Anolis sagrei: one gene and its partner. The protein of the gene in region 2 interacts with the protein of the main gene of each other region in a pairwise test. Links are inferred from orthologs where the notes say so. Each region holds a gene or a part of one and is shown on either strand. Other genes may lie near its edges. The genes, in order: GNAI3 and GPSM3.

Evidence for each region.
Region 1: the proteins of GPSM3 (region 2) and GNAI3 interact in binary tests that used the Homo sapiens proteins (3 or more experiments, as listed by UniProt). The two-hybrid records come from large-scale screens. The link is inferred for Anolis sagrei from reciprocal best matches to the Homo sapiens genes GPSM3 and GNAI3.

Annotation. Positions count from the first base shown.
Region 1 is NC_090024.1:184,493,741-184,501,464, forward strand, and holds the start of GNAI3 (guanine nucleotide-binding protein G(i) subunit alpha-3), read right to left. Parts: upstream 3,179-7,724; 5' UTR 3,044-3,178; coding exon 2,926-3,043; intron 1-2,925. UniProt on the Homo sapiens protein: Heterotrimeric guanine nucleotide-binding proteins (G proteins) function as transducers downstream of G protein-coupled receptors (GPCRs) in numerous signaling cascades.
Region 2 is NC_090022.1:16,759,019-16,766,892, reverse strand, and holds the start of GPSM3 (G-protein-signaling modulator 3), read right to left. Parts: upstream 3,083-7,874; 5' UTR 2,976-3,082; intron 1-2,975. UniProt on the Homo sapiens protein: Interacts with subunit of G(i) alpha proteins and regulates the activation of G(i) alpha proteins.

The DNA of each region.
Region 1 (7,724 bases), on a different chromosome or scaffold from region 2:
ACCCAGTATGTTCTAAATAACTTTCAATTGGTTCTCCCTTTAAAACCATGTGTGTACTACAGTGAGATGAGACATTACAGGATCTTTAAAACATAAATGTGAGAGCTTCAAACTACACACCCCAAAAAAGGAATACGCATTTATTAAACAAAAAATAATTTGGGAGGAAAACAGTGACTTAAAAAAAGTTACAGTGGATCATTAACTCTGTAGTTAAGGTCACAGGCAGGATGATGTTGCTACAGCCTACAAACATCAACATCCAAACCACCATGCTTCAAACAAAGTCTAACCTACTCAGTATCTCAACAATCTACTCCCCTGCCATCACACTTTATATGTAAATGTGGAAAAGTCTGAATCTTGTATTTCTTAGCAAAGATTTTCAGGGAACCATGGGGAAAGCAGATGATAGCTTCAAGCAAACCCTGTGTGGGTAGGAACTGGTTTTCCTTTATTATAAGAAGTGCCACATTTCTGACATTTGGGAAGTTTTTCCTTTTGCACAGATTGAACAAGATGATATATATAACCTGTGGTCCGCAAGAACTAAAATAAGGTTTAAGGTCTCACTATTACCACATCGTTGCAACGAGAGCGACGGGTCTCGCAAAACTCTCTTATATTGCTGAGGCTTTTTTAATATGGTTTTTTTTTTTGGGCTAGCAGATAGCAACTACTGGATGGCATATGTTCTGGATCAGAAACTAGAGTTGATGTGGTCTCTCCAATGCAGTTTTTTGAATCAGCACGCCAAATAACCAAACCAAATCTGAAGTTGACCAAAAACTGATTCGTAACCCTTTTGGTACTAATGTTGGAGTGGTCCCTGGTCAAAAAAAGGTTGGGAACAATTGATCTAAGTCAAAGAATGGACATATGCATACATGTTAGTTGACTGATTTGTACCACAAAGGCTTGATGCATCTGGACAAAACTTGGCACACGTACCGTTCATTATCCAACTTAAAATAATGAGTTTGAATTAAAAAGAACCCACCCATTTTTTGGCACAGAGCTGAGGGAACGAAAAGACACAAAGTGGATTGGCTGTTGCTAGGTGCAGTGGCCCTCTGTCCATGTGACTGGGATAGAAAGGAGGAGTGAAGCTGATTAGCTCATACTAGAAGACATATGTAGGGGGAGGGGAGAAAAGAAGCGAAAGTAAGCAATGGAGGGGGAGAAAAAAGGAAGGAAGCGAGGGAAAGGTATGAGGGGAGGGTAGAAAAATGGAAGAGAAAGGAAAGAAGAAGGGGAAGGTGTATAAATGGAAAGTGAAGGAAGGCATTCGCTTTCACTTATCATTATTTAAATTACTTGTTTTAACTTGTGTAATGTATTGTCTTACTTGTTGTCTATATTTTTACTTTGTTTCATACAGGCATTGAATGTTTGCTTTTATTATGTTGGAAGCCGTCCTGTGTCCCCTAAGGGAGATAGGGCGGACTACAAATAAAGGTAAAGGTTTCCCCTTGACATAAAGTCTAGTCATGTCCGACTTTGGCAGTAGACCTCATCGTCATTTCTGTCCATAGATGCATGGACTGCATGGAGCATGACAGCATGGAGCGCAGTTGCCTTCCTGCTGAAGTGGTACCTGTTGATCTACTCGCATTTGCATAATTTCGAACTGCTAGGCTGGCAGAAGCTGGGGCGAACAGTGAGAGCTCACCTTGCTCTCCAGATTCGAAACACGGACCTTTTGGTCAGCAAGTTCAGCAGCTCAGCAGTTTAACCCACTGTGACACCGGGGGCTCTGGGCTACAAATAAAGTATTTGAAAGCCTTCAACACACAACAAGTATTATTATTAAGGAAGAAGGTGGATGAAGGCAAAGAAGAGCCACAAAGAAAAATGAACACCCAGGAAAATGCAGGGTGTATCTATGTATGTATGTGTCTGTATATATCACACTAGCCATCCCCTGCCACATGTTGCTGTGGCCTAGTCTGTGTATATGTGTTTTGTGTGTGTATATGCGTATATCTGTGTGTACATATTTGTGTATATATGTGGTTTTGCGCATGCATTGTAATGTATTTAGTTTTTTGGCTTTTTAAGTCTCTTCTGATGTGTTTTAATGAGTGACTGTCACTCATTGGTCTGATAAGTGTATTGTGCCCAAATCTGGCGTCAAAATTTCCTGTGGTTTTTGAGTTATGTTAATCCCACAAACAAACATTACATTTTTATTTATATAAATACACACCAAATTTAAAATTTTACATAAAATCACCTTCAAGCGGTGTGTATTCAAAACAAAAGTGATCTAAGGGCTGTTGGGAATTATGGGAGTTGAAGTCCGAAGCTTGCCCATGCCTGATCTACACTGTAGAATCAATGGGGTCTGACATCCCTTTCAACTAATGCGGTTCACGGCTATGGATCAGGCTATGTCCCTCTATATTAGGCATGGGCAAAGTTGGGCCCTCCAGGTGTTTTGGACTTCAACTCCCACCATTCCTGACAGCCTCAGGCCCTTTCCTTTTCCCTGTCAGCCACTTTTGGACTTCAGCAGCCTCAGGCCCTTTCCTTTTCCGCCTTAGGCCCCTTTGGGGGAAAAGGAAGGGGCCTGAGGCTGTCAAGAATGATGGGAGTTGAAGTCCAAAACACCTGGAGGGCCCAAGTTTTCCCAAGCCTACTATGGATGGACTCCTGGGTGTTGTGGTTCGGAGAGGCCCCACAAGCCTTTGGCAGAGAAGGCCCAAGACCTCGCAACGCCACGACTCCCCTGATCCTGTAGCACGGAGACATGGCGGCTGAAGTGGGGCCAGGCTGGACGAATTCAAACTGTGCTCGAGCAGGGCTGGGTCTCAGGCCCTTGCGAACTGTACCGGGGCGAAGAGCGTGGCTTGGGCCTAACCGCCGCCTTCCCCCCGCCTAAGGCCCCGGCCCCACCCTTCTCCTCCTTCTCCTTCTCCTCACCCAACAGGAGCAGCTTCACCTCCTTGGCCGCCTTTTCCCCGTCTTCGCGGAGGTTGCGGTCGATCATGCGGCTCCGCTCGACCGCCGCCTTGTCCTCGGCGCTCAGCGTGCAGCCCATGGCGGCGGCGGTGAGGGACGGGAGAGGCCTTAGGCGGCGCCTCTCTGCCTCTCTCTCGCTCTCTCTCTCCTCAACGGTCGCCGCGACTCGAGTTGGGAGGCAACGGGGAAGGGAGGGGCCGGAACGAGAGAGGCACCGGAAACTGGCCTGCTTCCGCTCCTCTACTCCAGACCGACCGACGAAAGGCGAAGTGCATCTTGGGAAATGTAGTTGAAGAACAACCCCGGGGTTTTGTTAAACAATAGTTCTCCAATATGTTTTGGACTTCAGCTCCCAGAACGCCTCAGCTGCTTTGGACCATGGTCAGGGGTTCTAGGGAGCTGAAGTCCAAAATACCTGCGAAACCAGCGTTTGGGAAACATTGAAGGCTTGTGATCTTACAGGCGCAGGAGTCCATAACTATAACTATAGAACAGGCATGGTCAAACTTGGACCCTCCTTCCAGGTGTTTTGGACTTCAACTCCCACCATTCCTAACAGCCTCAGGCCCCTTCCTTTTCTGCCTCAGGCCCCTCTGGACTCCAACTCCCACCATTCCTAACAGCCTCAGGCCCTTTCTTTTTCCCCTCTCAGCCATTTTTGGACTTAAGCAGCCTCAGGCCCCTTCCTTTTTCACCTTAGGCCCCTTTGGACTTCAACTCCCACCATTCCTAACAGCCTCGGGCCCTTTCCTTTTCCCTCTCAGCCACTTTTGGACTTCAGCAGCCTCAGGCCTCTTCCTTTTCCGCCTCAGGCCCCTTTGGACTTCAAGTCCCACCATTCCTAGCAGCCTCAGGCCCTTTCTTTTTCTGCCTCAGTCCCCTTTGGACTTCAACTCCCATCATTCCTAACAGCCTCAGGCCCTTTCCCTTCCCTCCTCAGCCACTTGTGGACTTCAGCAGCCCCAGGCCCTTTCCTTTTTCACCTTAGGCCCCTTTGGACTCCAATTCCCACCATGTCTAACAGCCTCAGGCTCTTTCTTTTCCCCGCTCAGCCACTTTTGGACTTCAGCAGCCTCAGGCCCCTTCCTTTTTCTCCTTAGGCCCCTTTGGACTTCAACTCCCACCATTCCTAACAGCCTCAGGCCCTTTCCTTTTCCCTGTCAGCCACTTTTGGACTTCAGCAGCCTCAGGCCCTTTCCTTTTCCGCCTTAGGCCCCTTTGGACTTCAACTCCCACCATTCTTAACAGCCTCAGGCCCTTTCCTTTTCCCCTCTCAGCCACTTTTGGACTTCAGCAGCCTCAGGCCCCTTCCTTTTTCACCTTAGGCCCCTTTGGACTCCAATTCCCACCATGTCTAACAGCCTCAGGCTCTTTCTTTTCCCCGCTCAGCCACTTTTGGACTTCAGCAGCCTCAGGCCCCTTCCTTTTTCACCTTAGGCCCCTTTGGACTTCAACTCCCACCATTCCCAACAGCCATACATGAGGTTGACTTATACATGAGGTTGACGTACACATGGGTATATACCAGGCATGGACAAACTTGGGCCATCTCTCCATGTGTTTTGGACTTCAACTTCCACAATTCCTAACAGCCTCAGGGAAAAAGGAAGGGGCATGAGGCTGTTAGGAATTGTGGGAGTTGAAGTCCAAAACACCTGGAGAAAGGGCCCGAATTTGCCCAGGCCTATTACAGAATCATGTAGTTATAGAATAACTGAAACTATAACTACATAATTGTAGTCGTGGAATCATGGAGGTTGTATAAGGTCATGAGCCTTCTCTGCCCAGCCTTCCCAATCTGCAATTCCCAGGATTCCCTAACATTGAGCCATGGCAAATAGGCTATGCTGGTGGAAGCAATGGTGCTGGTATGGGCTCCCATGTCTGACAATTTTTTTATTTGGAGCCAAACTAAACTGGATTCAAGTCAAAGGGACTTGTCAGCTGTTGACATGATGAAAGGTAAAAAGGAAGTCTGAGGCTGCACATGTTATAGGAAAGTGGATTGTGAGAAACATTAACCAGGGAATTGAATGTATCAACCTTGCAATACTTGGGGTGAACAAATTACAGTGGACAAGAATAGGACGTTTTGAACCAGAAAATTACATATATAAAGTACATATCTGGATGCAGAAAATGGAGAAGATACATTCTTTCTGCAAACAAACAAACAAAAAACCCCAAGACCAGGAGCAGAATGTGGCACAGACCATGAATTTCAAAAACTGAAGTAGAGTTGAAGGACACTAAGCCAATTGTCATGCCAGAATACAACCCAAGAACATCACTGTAGAATTTAAATATAATGTAGAAATAGATTTGCGCTATTAAGCCTAATTCACCAAGAGCCAGATCTGAAGCCAGGGACTTTGTTGGGGAGGAATACAAAAAGACACTTTTGTAGCAAAAAAAGAGAGTGAAAGCAAAGAAAAGAAAGTTTCCACAAATGAAACTCTTCAAGTAGCTTAAGGGCAGATGAAATGTAAATGCAAAATGGAGAGAAACAGAGTCAGAATTCTAAATGCAACTGTTTATCAAGGGATAAGAAAAGCCACTGTAAAAACCAATAGAGAGAAATAGAAGATGACAGCAGAAAAGGATGGACATGAGACTGAAACAAAATGCACAACTGTCTGTATCTTTGCCCAGTCACAGGTGGCTTAAGTAGGAACATACTAGGAGGCTATGCTCACTCAGACAGCAGGCTATTTTTCTCTCTTGACAGCTGTAGCTCAATTTAATACAAAATACTTCCAACATTTGGGTCTTTGGGATCTTCTTAACAATCCTCTGGAACTATGGGGCTTAAACATTCTGCTCTCACTCAATTGGACAAGAGTCCAATTTGTAACTAGAAAAATAAATGAAACAGGATGTGTCTGTGGATTGTGTGTTACAGGAACAACCCTTAAAAAGGAAATTGTGACTCTTCCTCCCATTTCATAACCCAGTCTCCAAAATAGAGAAGTTGGTGTACAGGCTGTTCTGTCGCCCTCTAGGGACCTTTTCTAGGGAATGTTTCTCCCACCCTGGACATTCCACAGATATATAAACCTCACTTGCCTAGTTTCCAACAGATCTCACAACCTCTGAGGATGCCTGTCATAGAAGTGGGACCCCCCCTGAAAGAGAAAAAACACGAATTTACTATTTTTTTTAACCAGAGATAGAACCTCTCTAGGAATTTCTATATTTTTCAGCATAACTCTTTATTTTACTGTCTACTGGAAGCTGACCATAGAAATGCAATGCAGTACTTAGAGATTCCTAGGGAGATATTCATGATTGGATGAAGGTGGCTATAAAGACACACTTGAAGACTTCAAGATTCCTACAGAGACAATTTTAATCAGATCCATGAATAATCAAATTCACAAGTCAAAAATGCAAATGTGAAGGGATGGGTGCATATAAATTTTCTGTAGGATTGCTTATTCCCTCTTGCCTGAATTTCTGTGTGGAGGGAAAATATTTTAATGACGATGATGACAATGATGGAAGAGGAGGGAAGGAGGCATGGGCTTCCTCTTTATGAATGAATATAAGGAATTGTTATCACTTTAGTGTAGGGTGAATCTAGCACGAAAATAATTTGGCTGACCTGAACATTGCCTCACACATGCTTCTGGATACTGCATACCTACTCCAGATCAGAGCTTTGGAAAGATACTTTTTCTGGACTACATATCCCATAATCCTAATATCTAGTAGGTACTGGGATATGATCTCCAAAAAAGGGACTTTTCTAAGCTTTATCAAGATTGCCTCTCTATTTGGAGCTGATTATCAGAGTATTATCTACAAGCAGACATTTATAAAACATTTACTGTGTCTTTTGTCCCAAACAAAATGAGTACAGAATTAGTTTCCTGACACTGGGAGGGAGAAAGTGAGACACCTGTTGCAGGTGATAAATCTGTCACTCCCTCCTACTTTAGAAGTAGGTGTGGAGGCTCATAATTTCCCAAAGAAAAAAAAAACAAAAGAATCCTTTGTAACTGGTACCCACAGACAGAGAACAAACATAAATTAAACCAGTTTTGTCAGGAAATGCAGCTATAATAAAGATTTTTGGGTCTGTGTTGCCATCTAGAGAATGCATATCAGAACTACAAGTTGGGATTTCCTACTTACCATAATGAGGGTAAAGGAAGTGGCAAAATCACCTCTGAGTATCCCTTGCCTATGGAAATCCGAAAGAATTCATGAGGTCCCCATAAATTGACAGGGACCTTAAAGTTACACATACTCACACAAGGATAAAAGTAACTACTGTATAGGCAAATATTTTACCTATGTGGAAATAGCAACTTCTTATTTATAAAGTAGTTTGCAAAGGAATTTGCAATGTGATCTTCTAAGCAACTTTTAAAGATTCACTCCCAGTGTTGTATTTTTGTATCTGAATGAATAGTGAAAGCAAGTGTGTGTATCTGCTCACTGAGGCTCTAGTAGAAGTTAAGGCAGAAACAGATCATTGTCCCATGTGGAAAGGAAGAATGTTTTTCTTGGTACCTTCTAAGATGAGTGTGATTGCACCCACCACCTTTTGCGCTCATAAGCCCAATTTGTCTGCTTCCAAGAAGGTAAAAAGAATAGGGGACCTTTGACTGGATCAAAGAAATCTTAGCTTTACACAAGATGAGTATACAAGCCTGTCCTTTTCTCACCCTTCCCAAATCTGATCTCATCATTGTCAGATTAGAAGCCCAGAGCAGGTTCTAGGTGGGCCACTGACCTCAGGGATCATTGAAGTT
Region 2 (7,874 bases):
TGAATGAAAATACATCCTGCATATCAGATATTTACATGATGATTCATAACAGGAGCAAAATTACAGTTAAGAAGTAGCAATGAAAATAATATTATGGTTGGGGGTCACCACAACGTGAGGAACTGTATTAAGGGGTCGTGGCATTAGTAAGGTTGAGAAACACTGCCCTAAGAGGAAGGAGCTATTGAACCTACTTGGAATAAATCATTCCTAGAAACTTCTCACATGTCAGAGTCAGCTAGAAGCCACATGAATTGTGTGATCATCACCATTAGAAATATTTCAACGTTGCCAAAAACGTTGCAGTTGATGCTGACTCTGCACATGCTCAGAATCTCTTTGCTATGGCAAATAAAAGGCACTTGGGAAAAGAGATGTTTTGCAACCGCTTGGGAAGTCACAGAGTTCAAGGTGTTGCAAGCAGTGCCTCACATAAGGTATTTTTTCCTCCCCAGGCAGCAGGAAGCAACAGAAAACTCTCCTGTGGATTGCAATGCAACCGTTGTGGGTGAATATTTCACACTGTTGGACCCAACCAAGTGTGATATGAGTTGGTTACAAGGATGCAAATTGCCTTCACGGGGCAATGTCATGGAAGAAAAGGCTTTCACATTTTACCTCTGCCCACGACTGTTCATGGAAGGAATGTTCCTCTTAATGTCCATTTCCCCCCTTTATCATCCCGAATCACAAGCATGAAAGCCCCAAATCCAAGTGGAACCGTGGTGAAGCCAAAATGATTAAGCTCCCACCCACACACCATATATGCTTTAGAATTAATACAGTTGGACACCACTTTAATTGCCATGGGTCAATGCTATTGAATCCTGGAAGCCATAGTTTTACAAGACCTTTCGTCATCTCTGCCCAAGATAGCTGGTGATGCAACAAAATACAACTCACAGTGGTATCAACTTGTATTTGAGTGTTGCACCCCAGGCCTGAAGCCACCGATGACCACAGCACCACACAAGAGTCCTGAGTATAAGCAATCAGTTTACTGTAAAAATACATTAAAGGTATATGGAAAATTCAGGTCTAAGGAAATAAGGTGTATAATCCAAAAGGGTCAGCAATAGATGATAACTAAACAGGAATCCCCTTGCCACAATGCTTCAGAACAGATGTGCTTAGGATTTTGGGGTTTTTAGGGGGTTTGGAATATGGCCACTAAACCCAGTTTTAAATCATGAATTTTAAATTTATCATTATTGCATTGCAATATTTGTACCCTGCATTTTAATATGTGCATTTTATAGAAATGTGCTTTAATGCATGCATGTTATTGTATGGATTTTATGGGGATGCATTATGTGTTGTGTCCTGCATTGAGACATGAGGAGATGGGTAACAAATAACATTATTACTATTACTATTACTATTATTCTTAATATTAATATTATTAGAAACACAGCAGGATTAGTACGCAGCGCTGGTTGTCGTATTAGATCACATGTTGGACATTTCCCAATCAGTGAATAATGTGTTCGGATCCCAGTAGGGTGGCCTTTTGCAGCTGACAAATGGTAATTTTGTCAGCGTCGATTGTGTTTAAGTTCAGGCCAAGGCCTTTAGGCACTGCACCTTGTGTGCTGATCACCACTGGGATTATTATTATTATTATTATTATTATTATTATTATTATTATTAGAGCTGGCAAATTCCTTGCTCGGTGCATCAGGTCCATGATCACACCAAATATTGGAAATCACTCAGCAGCTTCCGGACAGCAATTTGCAAGAAGGCCTAAACTCAGAGAGATTTCTCAAAGGACCAAATGCTGAGCAAAAGTTTCAACATGATATTTATAGCATCAGATTTTCCCTTCATCAGCATACAAAGATCCTAACTGGTTATGTGTGAAATACTTGGGTGTTTTGTTTTTTTTTTGCTCAATATGAAAATGGTTACATCAACTAGTTGGCATTGCACATGCTTATTTCACTATATAGTGTCATATTACAATTTGCATACAATACCAGGCGGTGGGCCCCCTGATTGCACAAAGGTTTAAACCACTGAGCTGCTGAACTTGCTGACTGAAAAGTTGGCAGTTCAAATCTAGGGAGCAGGGTGAGCTTCCGCTATTAGGCCCAGCTTCTGCCAACCTAGCAGTTCAAAAACATGCACATGTGAGTTGATCAATAGGTACCACCTTGGTGGGAAGGTAACAGTGACCCATGCAGTCATGCTGGCCACATAGTTCAGAATGCTCTTTGATTAGGTGAACTATAAATCCCAGCAACTACAACTCCCAAATTATGAAATCTATCCCCCCCCCCCTCGCAACCCCACCAGTATTCAAATTTGGGCATATTGGGTATTTGTGCCTAATTTCATCCTGTAAATGAAAATACATCCTGCATATCAGATATTTACATTACGATTCAGAACAGTAGCAAAATTACAGTTGTGAAGTAGAAATGAAAATAATTTTATGTTTGGGGGTCATCACAACATGAAGAACTGTATTAAGGAGTCATGGCATTAGGAAGGTTGAGAACTACTGTCTTAGCTAATAAATAAAGCTCCAGTAGTTAAAAATAGAATGACATCAAATCATGGGAGTTGAAGTTTTACAAGGTCTTGATCCTTCTCCATCAGAGTGCTGGTGCCTCATCAAATGACAGCTCCCAAGATACCATAGCATTGAGCCAAAAAAACAAATAACTCATTATACTTCCACAACACCCAGCTACCTTGAGTGTATCTTCAATATAGAATGAATGCAGTTTGATGCCACTTTCACTGCCTTAGCTCAACGCTATGGAATCATGTAATTTGGAATTTGGTGAGGAACCAATACTCTTTGACAGAAAAGACTAAAGACCTTGTAAAACTACAGCTCCCTTTGATTCTATAGCATTGATCAAGTGGTAAAAGGGGCATCAAACTGCATTCATTCTATAGACTCACCCATTCTTGGCTACTGATCACTCCAGTCTTGGAAATCCCATTTTTACCATTGTGCTCACCTTTTGTGCCCCTCTCGTATTATTTCCACCACTGGCGCCTGTGCCAAATGACCATCTTCCTTCTCTTTTGTGTGACTGTTGCTTTGTCTTCAGGAGACTCAGCCTACTGTCACTTTTCTCCTTCCTTCTTGGTTTTGCTTGATCTGTTTGGCTGGCTACGCCTCTTATTTCTACACGGGAAGCTACTACCGCTTCCTGCTCTTGCTATATAGTATGTTTCTCACGCCAACTTTCTTTCTGTCTCTCTTCCCATTGGTCTCAAAACCAATGAGACAAGCGAAAGAGCCAGGTGTGTGAAGCTTTCTCAGAATGAAGTGACTTCACTTCAATGTATTGTCGAAGGCTTTCATGGCTGGAATCACTAGGTTCTTGTGGGTTTTTTCGGGCTATAGAGCCATGTTCTAGAGGCATTTCTCCTGACGTTTCGCTTGCATCTATGGCAAGCATCCTTAGAGGTAGTGAGGTCTGTTGGAATTAGGACAATGGGTTTATATATCTGTGGAATGGCTGGGGTGGGGCAAGGAGCTCTTCCCTGCTGGAGCTAGGTGTGAATGTTTCAACTGATCACCTTCACTTCACTTCGCTTCACTTTATTTCTTAATTAGTCGCTCTCCAGCAAGGTGGTCTGAGCGACTTACAATTTAAAATAGCATCTCTTCATGACCTCATGGATCAGCCTGGTTGTCATAATCTTGGTTTTTTAAATGTTTAACTGCAACCCAGCTTTTGCACTTTCTTTTTTCAGCTTGGTTAGAAGGCTCCTCATCTTCTCCACTCTTTCAGCCTTCAAAATGGTATCGTCTGCATATCTAAGGTTGTTAATGTTTCTTCCAGCAATTTTAACTCCATCCTTGGATTCATCAAGCCCTGCAAGTTGCATGATATGTTAAGTAGGGTGGGTGAGAGTAGACAGCCCTGCCATACTCCTTTCCAAATCTTGAACCATTCTGTTTTTACTGTTGCTACATAGTTGTTATACAGATTCCTCAGGAGACAGACAAGGGTACTTGGTATCCCCATACCATCAACTTGCCACAATTTATTATGATCCACACAGTCAACACTTTTAGAATAGTCAATAAAACAGAAATAGATGTTGTTCTGAAACTCCCTGCCTTTCTCCATTATCCAGCGGATAATAATAATAATAATAATAATAATAATAAGAAGAAGAAGAAGAAGAAGAAGAAGAAGAAGAACTCCTGACCTCACAATTGTGTTAAAAAACAAAGTATGGATTGTCGATGTTGCAATCCCAGGTGGCAGCAGGAGTGAAGAGAAACAACTGGAAAAGCTGACACGATATGAGGATTTAAAGATTGAACTGCAAAGACTCTGGAACAAGCCAGTAAAGGGGGTCCCAGTGGTGATTGGCACACTGGGTGCAATGCCTAAAGACCTTGGCCTGCACTTAAACACAATCGGCACTGACAAAATTACCATCTGCCAGCTGCAGAAGGCCACCTTACTGGGATCTGCACACATTATTCGCCGATACATCACACAGTCCTAGACAATTGGGAAGTGTCCGATGTGTCATCCAATACAACAGCCAGCAGAGTGTCTGCTGTGGACTCATCTTGTTGTGTTTCAAATAATAATAATAAATATAATAATAATTAATATAATAATTAATATAATAATAATAGCATCAACAAAAACAATAAATATAGCTGTATTTTATCAAGCAGACAAGAGGTCTTTCTCCCTCCCCAGACATCCCACAGGTATATCATCTGGGGAGGCCCTGCTCTCAACCCCGCCACTATCACAAGTGAGGTTGGCGGGGACGAGGAGCAGGGCCTTCTCAGTGGTGGCCCCTCACCTGTGGAACTCACTCCCTGGGGAGATTAGATCAGCGACTTCCCTTTTGACGTTCAGGAAAAAACTGAAGACCTGGATTTGGGACCAAGCCTTTGGACATTCTGGCAGCTAAAGAATCTGACGATAAATAAGGACAGATGCAATGGAATAGATATACGGACTCTGAACACTGAGCATGAGATTGTTTTGCTATGTTATTATGTATTGATGTTTTTAATTTGTTAACTGTTTGAATTGTTTTTCTGTATTATTTGTTAGTTGATTCAGGCATCGAATTGTGCCTTCGTCTGTAAGCCGCCCTGAGTTCCCCCTTGGGGTGAGAAGGGTGGGGTAAAAGTAATTGAAATAAAATAAATAAATAAATAAACCTCATTTTCCTAGTTTCCAACAGACCTCATAACCTCTGAGGATGCCTGACATAGATGTGGGTGCAACGTTGGGAGAGAATGCTTCTGGAACATAGCCAGACAGCCAGAAACCTCACAGCAATCCAGTGATTCTGAAGACCCATGAAAGCCTTCAACAACAGAATAATAGCATCTTTTGCTTGCAGCTCAGAGCGAAGTACTACAGGGTTAAAACTGAGAATAAAAACCTTCATTCAGTGGAGGAGACATGCTTAAAACAGGCATGCGATCAATCCCATGCCATATCAGCAACAGGATAAACACTGGAAAACTGTTTTCTTATAAATGCCAGATAATCTACATCTCTGCTATGACTGGCAGGACCTCCAGCAAAATATGAATGACGCTGGACCACTTCATCGCTGCTATGCAAAGTACCAAGATCCTGATGTTGATCAAATTATTTTGACACCCAAGGCGTAAATTCCTACAAACATCTCTCCCTTGGAGGTGATTTGCAACACAGTGCAAATCAATGTAACCAGTTGCAATTTGCTGCCCTCTCATGACTTGTAGGAGTGTTGGCCTCAGGCATCCACTTTGCTCTGTCAGATGGCACAGCTGGACCTGCTGACTGCCTGGCACAGGCACCCTAGGGTTGTGCCATCACCCGGGGCCCCGTAGTTTTAGCAGAGCAAGCTAAAGACTATGAATTCAGGACTTTCTGCAGGAGGAGCATTTGTCCTGCCAGCAAGCCAATATCTGCTCCTGGAACCAAGTTGGTTAAAAACATGCACACATAATTATAGTCCCAATTTAAAGATCCTCTTGGCTTAATCTTTGTTGGACCTCCAGTTAGGGTGCTCAAGGGCCAGGGCTTCCCAGTTCGCTGTGTCTATGCCAGTTTTTAAAGGTTAGCTTTAAGCCCATTTTAAAATCTCTTTTCCTGTCCACCAACATTATGTTTTTCATTCTTCAGTTGGGAGTATAGTAACTGCTTTAGGAATGGAGCCTCCAGTGGTGCAATGAATAAAATCCTTGTGCTGGCAGGACTGCTGACTGACAGGTCAGTGTTCGAATCCAGGAAGAGCGGGTTGAGCTCCCTCTGTCAGCTCCAGCTCCCCATGTGGGGGACATGAGTGAAGCCTCCCACAAGGATGGTAAAACAACAAACATCCAAGATTCTCCTGGGCAACGTCCTTGCTGACGGCAAATTCTCTCACACCAGAAATGACTTGCAGTTTCTCAAGGCGCTCCTGACACAAAGTTTCTCAAGTTGCTTCTGCTTTGGGAGATGGTGATCTTTGGGCATTTGGACAACGTGGCCACGCCAGCAGAGTTGATGGCATAGGAGCATCATTTCAGTGCTGGTGATTTTGCTTCTTCCAGCATGCTGACATTGATCTGCCTGTCTTCCCAAAAGATTTGCAGGATTCTGGAGATAAACAGCTGCAGAAAGCAGCTACGCAAAGATTTGCCCATTTCATCATGGCTATTTCCCAATATGGCCTGATTTTCAGAATAGCAGCTCAGAACATTGAAATCTATCTTCTGCCAAAATACCTAATGGAAGTTAAGTCTCCAGAATCTGAAATAATCCACAAGGGTAGCTGAGAGAGTGATGCCTTTGCTTTCTAATGGCTCAATGAGCACTAACTTTGTTTAGTGCACAAAATTATTAATATTATTGGGTACCACACTGCCTTTCTGTTAAGTGTATAGGTATATATAAAAAGCATAAGTAAATCCACCCTCTGTATCCAGGGATTCTGCAGCTATAGATTCCATAATCCACAACTTGAAAACATATTTTAAACAATCCAAAAAGCATACTTTGATTTTGTAATTTTAGATTAAAATCATAGAATCAAAGAGTTGGAAGAGACCTCATGGGCCATCCAGCCCAACCCCATTCTGCCAAGAAGCAGAAAAATTGCATTCAAAGCACCCCCGACAGATGGCCATCCAGCCTCTGTTTAAAAGCCTCCAAAGGAGGAGCCTCCACCACACTCTGGGGCAGAGAGTTCCACTGCTGAACAGCTCTCACAGTCAGGAAGTTCTTCCTAATGTTCAGGTGGAATCTCCCTTCTTGTAGTTTGAAGTCATTGTTCCATTGCTTCCCATTCTCCAAGACAGCAGAAAACAAGCCTGCTCCCCCCCCCCCCCCCGTATGACTTCTCCTCACATATTTATACATGGCCATCATGTCTCCTCTCAGCCTTCTCCAGGCTAAACATGCCCATCTCTTTAAGCTGCTCTTCATAGGGCTTGTTCTCCAGACCCTTGATCGTTTTAGTCGCCCTCCTCTGGACACATTCCAGCTTGTCAACATCTCCCTTCAATTGTGGTGCCCAGAATTGGACACAGTATTCCAGATGTGGTTTTATCAAGGCAGGATAGAGGGATAGCATGACTTCCCTGGATCTAGACACTATACTCCTCTTTATGCAGGCCAAAATCCCATTAGCTTTTCTTGCTGCCGCATGACATTGTTGGCTCATGTTTAACTTTTTGTCCATGAGGACTCCAAGATCTTTTTAACATGTACTGCTCTTGAGTCATGCGTCCCCCATTCTGTATCTTTGAACTTCATTTTTCCTGCCCAAGTGGGGTATCTTGCATTTGTCCCTGTTGAACTTCATTTTGTTAGTTTTGGCCAATCATCTCTCTAATATGTTCAGATCATTTTGAATTCTGCTCCTGTCTTCTGGGGTATTAGCTATGCCTC